2 linked regions of the Arabidopsis thaliana genome follow. Each later gene encodes a partner of the first gene's protein in a complex. Each region holds a gene or a part of one and is shown on either strand. Other genes may lie near its edges.

The links. Proteins that work in one complex are often made in the same cells at the same time.
Region 2: NRPB8B (region 1) and NRPB10 share a complex: the UniProt entries of both Arabidopsis thaliana proteins name them as parts of the RNA polymerase II.

What each region holds. Positions count from the first base shown.
Region 1 is NC_003074.8:22,012,876-22,020,123, reverse strand, and holds NRPB8B (RNA polymerase Rpb8), read right to left. Parts: upstream 3,749-7,248; 5' UTR 3,609-3,748; intron 3,496-3,608; coding exon 3,417-3,495; intron 3,191-3,416; coding exon 3,033-3,190; intron 2,520-3,032; coding exon 2,428-2,519; intron 2,313-2,427; coding exon 2,201-2,312; 3' UTR 1,763-2,200; downstream 1-1,762. Other genes in the region: AT3G59610 (F-box family protein / jacalin lectin family protein), read right to left, coding at 1-571; AT3G59590 (jacalin lectin family protein), read right to left, coding at 4,356-4,634, 4,729-5,094, 5,174-5,866, 5,931-5,957. UniProt on the Arabidopsis thaliana protein: DNA-dependent RNA polymerase catalyzes the transcription of DNA into RNA using the four ribonucleoside triphosphates as substrates. Component of RNA polymerase II which synthesizes mRNA precursors and many functional non-coding RNAs.
Region 2 is NC_003070.9:3,860,891-3,864,574, reverse strand, and holds NRPB10 (RNA polymerases N / 8 kDa subunit), read right to left. Parts: upstream 2,177-3,684; 5' UTR 2,056-2,176; coding exon 2,020-2,055; intron 1,817-2,019; coding exon 1,758-1,816; intron 992-1,757; coding exon 897-991; intron 796-896; coding exon 770-795; 3' UTR 501-769; downstream 1-500. Other genes in the region: AT1G11480 (eukaryotic translation initiation factor-like protein), read left to right, coding at 1-207. UniProt on the Arabidopsis thaliana protein: DNA-dependent RNA polymerase catalyzes the transcription of DNA into RNA using the four ribonucleoside triphosphates as substrates. Component of RNA polymerase II which synthesizes mRNA precursors and many functional non-coding RNAs.

The DNA.
Region 1 (7,248 bases):
AAACACTATAAGGCGACATAGATAAATTCCAACTATGGAATGCAAATTCGTAAGATTTCCATGCATCGGATCCCAACTCGGTGACACTAGCATTCATGGTTGTATTTGTACAGTAAGACCCTAAGATCTTGTAGTGCTTGTCCTGTCTACTATTGTCGTATCCCATCCCACTGAAATCATAACCTTCATAACTGGATTTGAACCATCTAATCTGTCTCAGCCATGGGTTGCAAATCCCAATCCCATAACAGGTTGCATAAAGAAATAACCCGTCGCAATATTCGACGTGCATGGGCATATAAAGTTTATAACCGGGAATATCTGAGGGCAAGTTATGCACCTCTATAGATGGGCCGTCAAGATTAACGTCCACCGAGCAAATCTTGGATTCGGCAAGCAAGATGAATTGTGGACGGGCGAGACCCAAATCACTGTTGAAGAACCTCCTTTCCTTGAAAAGAGTGTTCCATCTCTTGCAAACACATCTAAATCGAGCGAGAATTTGTATTGGAAGGTGAGAGAGTATCTCTCCCTCCAAATCATACGGCAGGTCATGATCTGGTTGCATCATACCTTTTTTTTAGCTTTATGATAATATATCAGAACAAGATAATATATAGATGGATGTGTATAACAGAAATTCAATGCTTACAGATACTGCTACTATTACTACATGAAGAATATAATAACTATATATATTAATAGATGGGAAAATGAAGAGAAAAGAAAATTTTATTTTTATTTTTTTAACTTTTGTCCATAAATGATTGTAATTAGGAAAGAAAACCTATAAAAAAATGAATGACTGTAGATATGAGGCAATTAGAAAGAGAAAATACATATAATCTGGATGTGAGTGAGTAGATTTGTATCAGAAAATAAATAATTATACCAAAAGTTAGATAAATAAATAAAAAATATTATCCCTTTTTAGAACATGTTTAATTTAATTTAATATATATGAAAAATATACTTTTTACTTCTTAGATACCTATATTTTTTTTGTCAACAAATTATATAATAATTTAAATAGAAAGTATATTATTTGATTATGAAATGAAGTAAAGTAACTTTAGTCATGGAATAAGTATGAAATCTAGCACTGACAGAAGACTTTCTCTCAGAAAATGTAGGGATAAAAGCAGGACAGCAAAATAGTTACGGAGAAAATGTAAGAGGCTGCAACTTTCACATGTATCCTATGATGATTAGTCCGGTCTTGATGATAATTTTGGACATGCAAAAAGAAGAATCAGTTACGTGTATCGTTCTAGTTTAAATCAATAAATTTGTGAATTGTGTTCTACGAACGTTTTGATGATTTTCTTTATAATCCAAAATCGTACACCCAATATGAACCTAAATGCCGCAAGTGATCACAATTCACAAATTGCTAACCACTTTTCAGAAGCACATATATAGCGGATCAGAGGAGCCACGGATCTTCTTCTTTCAGGGTGGTTACCTAGAAGATCACAAAACAAACGGTATCATAGAAAGCTTGATACATTGTTAAGTCAACCAAAGCCATTTTTGATTCCATGAGTTTGACAATCTACTTGATGCAGATCAAGCAAAGAATGGAGAAGAAGACGGACACATGAGAGCCAATGGCATTAGTATAAGCTGCAGAGAAAGCATTGCAGTTGAGAGGCAATAATCATAACTCACTCACTAAATCAAACAGCTGCAAAATCAGGATCCGAGTATTTCCTCAGCCATGCTTATCATGGTTTGGAGGTAAACAGCGATAATACGCATGAGCCTCATACAGTTGGGAGAAGTGGGAAGGCGTCTGGATACAAGCATGAGTAACAACAACTCCAAAAACTTCACTATCACAAAGAAAAATTCCTGCTACGCCAGAAACTGACTTTTTTGTTTTATTGGCTTAGTGTTATTGTTCAAAGAGAGAATATTACTAAACACATGTGAGAGTGTTGTTAGAAAAGAAACAATTTTTTTGTCTCTGTTTGTTTTATAACTTATTGGCCTCAAGTGGTTATCATCATTCATCAACAGCTCTGAGCTACAAGCATAATTCAATTGGACAGTTAAATATTGGATGTACAAGAGTTGCTTCATGAAAATAGTATTTATAATAGCAAAGTTTAACATAAGATAAAGCTTTTATAAGAAAGCTCTCTGTTAATTCGGTTTTTATGCGAATATTCTCGGAAAGTGATTAGACAATGGCATCTCAAAGCTTCCTCATGAGTAGAAAGAGCCTCTGGTCAAGTTCGAAGTGAGAAATATGAGCTGGATCTCCCTGAAGCAACATCAGGAGCCCCCCGAACGAAACATATAACTCTCTGCAAACACATAATTGCAAGATAGAAACCGAAGCATGATGGTTAGATCTGTAAGTTAAATTGGATCTCTTTGGGAAAAAATGATTTTGTTGGTCTAGGTATATGGGATTCTTACGCTTTTGGAGTTTTGCCGTCACGCTCAGAGATCTTGTAAAGCTTCCCGTGCATGATGTATTCATACTTATCTGCAAGTGTTTTCTTTGCTCCCTGTAACAAAGCGAGATGGAAACTAGATTAGATTAGCTAACAACAATCTTGGTTTCATGATTCAAGAGTCAAGACACTAAGTCTTGCTCAAATTCCACATGTTTACTCTTATTCCTAGATAGGCTTCCTGAATCAAGCCAAAGCAATTGTTCTATTAAGCAATTAGATCAAATCCTAATACATGTTCTTGTAATAGAGCGACATGGAAACTAAATGAATGTTCAAATTATCAAAGAAAACAGTCTTGGTTTTCAAAGATAGGTTTTAATTCAATATTCAAGAGACTAAGTATTGCTCAAGTTTTCATATGATTAGTCTTATTCCTATCTCCTGAATCAAGCCAGTGGAATTAGTCATATCGAGCAATTAGCACTTAATGGTATGCCCCAACCAAAACCTTAAGAAAAGTTAACTGGCCTAACTTACTGTAACCATTCATGAGATTTATCCAAGCAAGTAAAAAAGAGTATGCAATATACACCAAAAATCTAACATAGAAAAAGCATGCAGTACCGGAGTAAAGTATCCGGTATCAGGAGTTCCATCGAGATTAAGCGTGGGAGCCATAGCCAGCGTGAACTTATCACCAACAGCCAATGGATAAACCTCAGTGTTAACATCTAAATGCATAAACATTTCCAAGTTGTGGCTCCTTGCTTCAACACGCGTAACTGTGTTACCACAAACACACAGAGACGCAATCAATTTGAAGTCAGAACAAACAAACTTTAGGAGGCTTAAAATTTTAAAAGTTGAGATCTTTTTCACACTAACTTGGATTCCAATTTATCTAAAACTTAAAACAAACACAAGAAACTAGGATTCATATCAGAAACTCGATTTAAGCCATGACAAGCATTACAAATCGTGACTGAGGTTAAAAAAAAAAGTAGATACCTTTATCGAACTTTTTGCCATCAGGGTCTAGCTTATCGACCACGAAGATATCCTCGAACATGATAATATTGCTCGCCATCTACAAACACGGAGATTCAAACCCTAAACACTCTTAATTTCATGAAAATAATCCGATTCGACTGGCATAAAACAACTATATGAGCATCTGGAGAAATCGAAAAGCTGAATTACCTTCAAAGGAGATAGAAAAGACGATTTTTTTCACCAGCTCCGGAGGCTCAAGAGGCAGAGAGAGGAACGGCGGCGAGAAGAGTGTTAAGGAGGGGCAGAGAAGAAGAGAAGCGAGAGAGAAAGGATTTTTTGTTTTTTACTTTTTCATATTATTACATATATTCCTTGTAGTTTGGTTTATTTACATATTTTCCTTATATTTTTACTTATTACAGAAAATACCCTATAGATTTGTGTTTTTCCGAGACATTCCATGTATATTTTGTTGTTTATTACATATGTTGCATTAAAGGAGAGATCAGAAGTTTGAAATATTGGAGTAGGTGCATGGTTTGCTGAGTATGAGCAATAGTTAAACACTAGTTGGTTTGCAAACTGATTTCAATCGAGCGAGAAAAATTGTTGGAAGGTGAGAAAGTATCTCTTCCTCCAATTCCCACGGCTGGTTCTCTGGTTGCATCATATATTTTTAATGGACACGGTCGAAAAGAAAAAAAAGAGTTTATAGATGGATTTGTATAGCAGCGTTGTTGTTTGCTTGCCTTGTCGGTTTAGGGTTTCAGAAAGAAGGATTGGAAAACCCTATTTCCCATTTTACTCATAAGTCCAACTTTTTTTATTAGGCTTTTGCGAACCCAATAAAAAACACGGCCAGTAATATTCCCATTTTACTCAATCGTGCATGTTCAAGAAAAACGATCATATTCATATCCAAAAAAGAATTATTACTTTTTATTGGCATGATTATTAATAATTAAAAACTGGTGAATGGTTAGGAAACGAATAATATAGAGGGGGTGGAGAGAAGTGGACGCCGAGAGCAGTGAGGTGGACACCAGAGCTTCTTCCGTAAAACCCGATGGCCTTGGAGCCTCGTTCTCCTCGAAGCGAGAAGGGCGTCCCGTTCAAGCGTCCGTACTGTGGCATCATGTCTCCCTTGCGCATCCGAAATGTAATGGAGGTGATATGGCTTTCAGTGTAGGTCCCCTCGACGGCTTCAATGTAGTCGCCTCCAGCGATCATAATCTATGCAAGAAATCCATATGATATGTATGATAAAACTATATATAAGTTAGAAACTAATAAATTAAGAAGTAAGAAATCTCATCACGTCACGTACTTCGTCGTCTGGATTATGTGTTGTCGCATTTCCATGACCTGCTCCGGCTTCAATCCGGTTATATTTGGAGTAGTGAAACTTGACAAAGACCGTGTCAAAATCATTTACTCCTACATTTATTTTCTTCACATTGTGGAAGATGCCGTCGTCCCACTCGTTTCCTCCATCGCTCGCTTGTATTCCTCTAGGGGGTGTGAAGCGGGACTCAACCTGCTGCGTTTTACTTCTATTGCTCATCGTGAACGTTGGAACTGGGACCAAACTAGGAACATAGGTACGGTGATGACGAGTAGGATACTCAACCAAATCGTTTATTATAATTTCATGGAACTTATCTCCCTTGGCAATATAAATGCAAGCCTTTTCCTTCTTGTTCAAACAACACAAATGCGAGACTGAGGGTTTTATCGTCGATGAAGTAACTTGGCGGATCATAGCTTATTACTCTTAAACTCGACCATTTAGGAACTGACACTTTCATCAAGTTCATCCACTCCACAGCCTTTCCATTCTCAATTTTAATCTCTTTTTTTGTTACCCAAATCTCTATATTCCTTGTCTCATAGTTTTGCTCTAAATACGAAAATCGATCTCCCCTAAAAACTGCAAGGGACCTAGCATTGCTTGGATCACATTTTTTATTAGGCAAGAGACAATAGGGTTCAAATTTCTCCGTAGAAAAATCAAAGCTTTGAATAAACTGGTCATCAGACGCCATATGGAAAGCAACCCAATACAAAGCTCCATTCAATGATACACTATAGGACGACATAAAATCCCAATCATATGCAAACTCGTACGGTTTCGAAATCCATGCATCGGATACAAACTCGGTGATACTAGCTTTCACGGTTGTATCGCTATAGGGGCAAGACTCAAAGATCTTGTAATGATTTTCGGGTCTAGAATTGTCGTATCCCACCCCATTGTAACGATAATTCACTTTGGATTTGATCCATCTAATCTGTCTCAACAATGGGTTGCATATCCCAATCCCGTTCTCGGTAGCATAAACCACTAACCCGTCGCAATATTCGACCGTCATGAAGAAACCATTATAACCGGGAATATATGAGGGTAAGTTATGGCTATGCACCTCTATGGATGGAACATCAAGATTAACTTCCACCGAGCAAATCTTGGATCTGGCAATCAAGATGAATTATTGTGGATGGGCACGAGCCAAATGATTATTGATAAACCTTCTCTCGTTTGAAAGAGAGTTCCATCGTTTGCAAACAGATCTGAATAGAGCGAGACACTTTGTTGGAATCAAAGTGAGTATTCTTTCCTCCAATTCCCACGGAAGTTGTTCTAGTTGCATTATGTTATCTGTTACGGACGAGTTTACACAATTACACCCCCATAAGAATATATATATATAGATGAATTTTCTATTAGAATTTTATAGCTTACGTTAGTATACTACTATTACATAAAGATATAACAAAATAATAACAACAATAGGTGGAATAAAATGAAAAAGTAACAATATTAATATACCTTTTTTTTTTGGCAAGCAATAAATTAATTTGTTTTGGATGATAATTCATATGTTATCCTATCATAGATTATTTTTTTAATAAAAAATCTAGTGTTATTGGTTATAATAAGAATTGCTAAATCCAATGCTATTGAACTAATGAATTTGAAAGAGTATATTCAAATCCACTTTTATTGATTTTTTTTTTCCAAGATTGGTCTTTAATGATTTTAAAGTGTTCTAGGTATTCAAAAAAAAAAAAAAGTGTTCTAGGTTATTAGGAAAATTCATAAGTTATCAATTTTACTATATTTACCCAAAATCATCTATAACTCACAAAAAAACTCAAATCATTCAAAATAGATAACTAAATCACCCCCTCATAATACAATAATTACTGTAGATGTAAAAATTGAATAGAAAGAAAATATTGGAACAATTGATTTATGGTAAAAAAAAATGGGTGTTTAAAAAAAAAGAATATATATGAGTTAATTAGATTCCAAAACATCAGTTTTTCATACACTCAACGAAAGTGTAATAGGGTAGCTCATTTACTTGCTAAACAGGGTTGTCTCCATTGTAACTATTACTCTGATAATGTTTGTCCCCCTAGTTGGATTCTTGAACAATTGTATCATGACTTTTGTCACTCTTAATCAATAAAATTCACTTTCGACAAAAAAAATAAAAAAAATATGAGTTAATTAGAAAGCTTTATCAATAAACTATTTTAGATCGGATGTACGTAAATAAACTTATTTAGATCCAAAATGAATAATTATACCAAAAGTTATAAAATAAAAAGAAATCTAGAAGCTGTTAAAAAGAAATCTGGAATATAATAGCCCTATTTTAAACAACTTTAATTTAAGTAGAATATTTCAAAAGAAATTAAGTTGGAAACATGAAGATGATGACAAAAACAAAACAAAAAACATGTATGTCTAATCTGCAGTCCACAGATTTGAGCTTCTATCTCCTTGCGTTTCTGATATATTCAGATTTACTTCTACGACTTGTTCGAGACAAAAATA
Region 2 (3,684 bases), on another chromosome or scaffold:
GATTCACCAAATGGAACAGGGATTCGTCACGGAAAAGCAGCTTCTGCTCTTGAGCTAGCTCAAGCCTATTCTCCTTTCTCTGACCCTAAATCTGGAATTGGAAGCAGCAACAGTTTTAACAAAAGCCGCAACAACCAAACGCAGCAGCAACCCTTCTCTCGGTTGGTAGGATCGACAACAACAGGAAGACAGATTAATGGGTACTGAGTCATCGTTCGTTTGTTCTCTCGAATTGGTTTTAGTCCCGATTAATTGGATCTTAATAACACATCTTATGTGGTTTGGGATCGTTATTGGAGATTTGAATGTGATATGTTCCCTTAAGAACGGGGTCGGGTTACATAAGCCAGATATGATTACACTGTGTTCTTCATTCTTCTTTGGTTATACATTTTATTTTAACCGTTCGTTTGGAAGATTTGAAAACTCTTGCCCGAGCCTGAACACACTAAACAGTTGGACGATTCTGTTGTACTTGCGTTTTGTATACAAAAGGTTATGAAGACCAGTGACTTTTAACTCTTTTCTCAAAGGTTTTCAGTTATGGCCATGAAAATCACCTCAATAATACTAATGAAACATGAATCCAAAGGAGAAATCTTCAAGGTCAGGAAATCATGAGATTGAATCACACGAGAAAGTAACTGACACACATATATAATTTTAGATGGAGTTGAAGGGTCTACACCACATACACCAAATGTTTTCATACATACTAATATTTAAGCCTCTAAAGAGGAAAACTTTTTCAGCAGATTTGCATCCTCTTCTAACTGTTGTCTGATTTCTCCAGAGCTGCAAGGAAAAGTACGTGGGTACCAGTAAATAAATCGAAAAGGACAATAACGTCCGAGTCAAAAGATACACAACATATGATAAGAGTTTGGAGAGTATACTGTTGTAGTTGAGAAGCTTCTCAATCAGATCAACATGAGTCATTAGCATACGCCTGCAGCAGTATCTGACTAGCTGGAGTGCATCAAGTGCGTCCCTGCAAAATAATAAGGATATTGTAACTTCATACCTATTGAGGAGATTGAACAACACTAAGAGCCAAAAGAAAGACAAAACCAACACAGATTGAATATCTAGACACCAAGCTTAAATCCTTCTACAGGTGTAAAGAGAATCATAAGTCATCAAGCCTTCAGTCATACTTATAACAGTCGAGATAGAATCTACAACTAAACAAGATAGGCACAACAATAGTCTGTTCCAATAACATATAAAGAGCAGAGCATTAGCTTAACCCTATAAACGATTAACCCTTGGTTTGCTTCTCCAATAGCGAAATTGTTGAACTAATCCCATACTTCACACGTATTATGAACCATTCTCTCATGTTCAGACAAAGTATTCTATTTTCACACAAAGAATGATTAGTCCAATAAGAATCATGTAGATGGGCACAAGTCTAATCAAAAGACCTTAAGTCTTACTTTCTACTTCTATCAAATATCAATTGTATAGAAAATCTAGATAGGCACATAGAGATTATATAGGCAGGACATAGTCTCTTCCAATGACACAGACAGTAAAACACAAACACAGAAGATTATAAAAAGCTAACTCCTTCATCAGCAAATCTATTTTATAGCTTCTGTTATCAATTAGAGAAGTGTGTTAGCTAATATGAAACTTCACAGACCCAATACGAAATCTGGGCTAATTTCTCTAAAACGCAAAGCAATTACTCTCTTTTTGACACAAAGTATGATGATTAGAGCAGCAAGAAGTGAGAATCATTGTAAGCTTACCCTTCAGTGTAGTCGAGCTGGAGAAGATCAAGATACTGATCCCATTTGTTTCCAATCACCTAAACCAATCACAAGGTGAAAGCTTAGTAAAGCTCAATACTTTATTTCTCTAATCGACCCAACATGTATCCAACCGATTAAAAACATTCGTGTCAAATACAGAGAGTAAAGATCTCTTCTTAGCCAAATTTGGAGTAACTAAAACCCTATAAAGACGGAGTAAAACCCTAAATAAGACCAAAGCGAAGGGGAAAATATCAACCTTTCCACAAGTAAAGCAACGAACAGGGATGATCATCTTGAGCTAGTTGAAATCTGTACTTGCTCTGTCTCTCTTTCTCTGCTTGGGAATTTTAGGGTTTTTCGTTTCGTGCTTCTTTAAAAAGGTCAAGTACAACTTTGAGCTTATAACTGGGGTTAAGGAGGGCTTTCCTTAAACGACGTCGTATTTGTACGACGAGGCTTCCCCAAACCAAACGACGGTATCATTGGAAATGTGATTGACCAAAGTCAAACCCTCCCTCCGGTTTAAATTCGGTTCAGTTATATATAGTTCGATTTTTGTAGCTTGTAAGAAAATTTGTGATGGAAAACTGAAAGATACGTTCTTAAAGAGTTTGTTTCGTCTAATTATTCTTCCGTTTCTCCATTATTACCAACAAGATCAACATCTGACGGTAATTTAAAACTGGTATTCAGGTACTGAACAAGTCTGCTACATAAAAAGATTCTAGTTTAAACAAACCGACTCTGGTTAGCTCTACATCCCAAAACTCTAAAGTCTGCTGCAGAAGATTCTAATTATACTAGGAGTTAAGAAACTTCAAACACACTAAAACCCGTAGAGCTCTAAGTAAAGATGTTGATGCAAGCTTGAGCTAAATGTAACCTTCTAAGATAGATTCTGATACCTCTCCCTTGGTAAATTCCCAAACATGATAATAAAAGCATCCAGGAGACATTCATCTCGATAATAACGCCATCTTCACTCTTCAACCCGCTTTCAGTCAATGAGAGTTCATCTTCTTCAAAATCGTCCACCATTTCAGCTGAGTACAGATACCTACACTTTTCCACACCGGTATATTAGGGAAATGCATCAAACAGGTTACTTCTCTTAGAGTAAATGTCACAGTTTTAATCACTTTTACAAGCCTCAGTAGCAGATAAGATCAGGTATACAAAGACCTAAAACTGATAGTAGTAGACACACCAGAAGCACCTGATTGGAAAAGGTCGAGTAAACGGTAAAGAGAGATTGATATGATTACCTAGTTGGCTTTTGTGATGGAGACCAGAAAAAGCAGATGAGTACGAAAGATATCTATATGCACTGCCCTTAGTCTGTTATGGAATTATAAATCATCAAAGGACTGAAAGTATTGTTGGTTTCTTTATTCTTACCTTAAGCTTGTTAATGGTTGTCAACAAGGACCTGAAGATCCACTGAACACAGCAAGTTTCCAGTATAGCCCAAGAGAGCATTTTAAGAGTCATTTTCTCAAAGTGTTTAGCCAACGAGAGTGATTCGCTTATAACAAATCATAGCACACCAAGAAGCATCCTGAATGTTATGCCATTAGTGGTAGGCTTTACTATCCAATATCCACAAGTTATGAACAAAAGTAAAAGCCGAGACAATGCTTTCCTCGCAGAAGGAAAAGGTTATCACCCATACTGTAACCTCCACAGACCTTGTACCAGCGAGATAGGCGAAGTCAAAGTAGCAGTGGAGTCTTGAAACTTGGAAGCGTAAAGAGCTTCACTGTCACCGGGAACATAGAGACCGTTGGCAATTTTCGTAAATCTCAGCATCAGTAGTCTTGATCAAGCTCCCGATCAAAACAAGGAAAATTGCAGAAGACCCTAAACACTGGTAAGAGCTCACTCACTGCCACTGGTAAGCTTACTTCACTCGCTTAGAGAA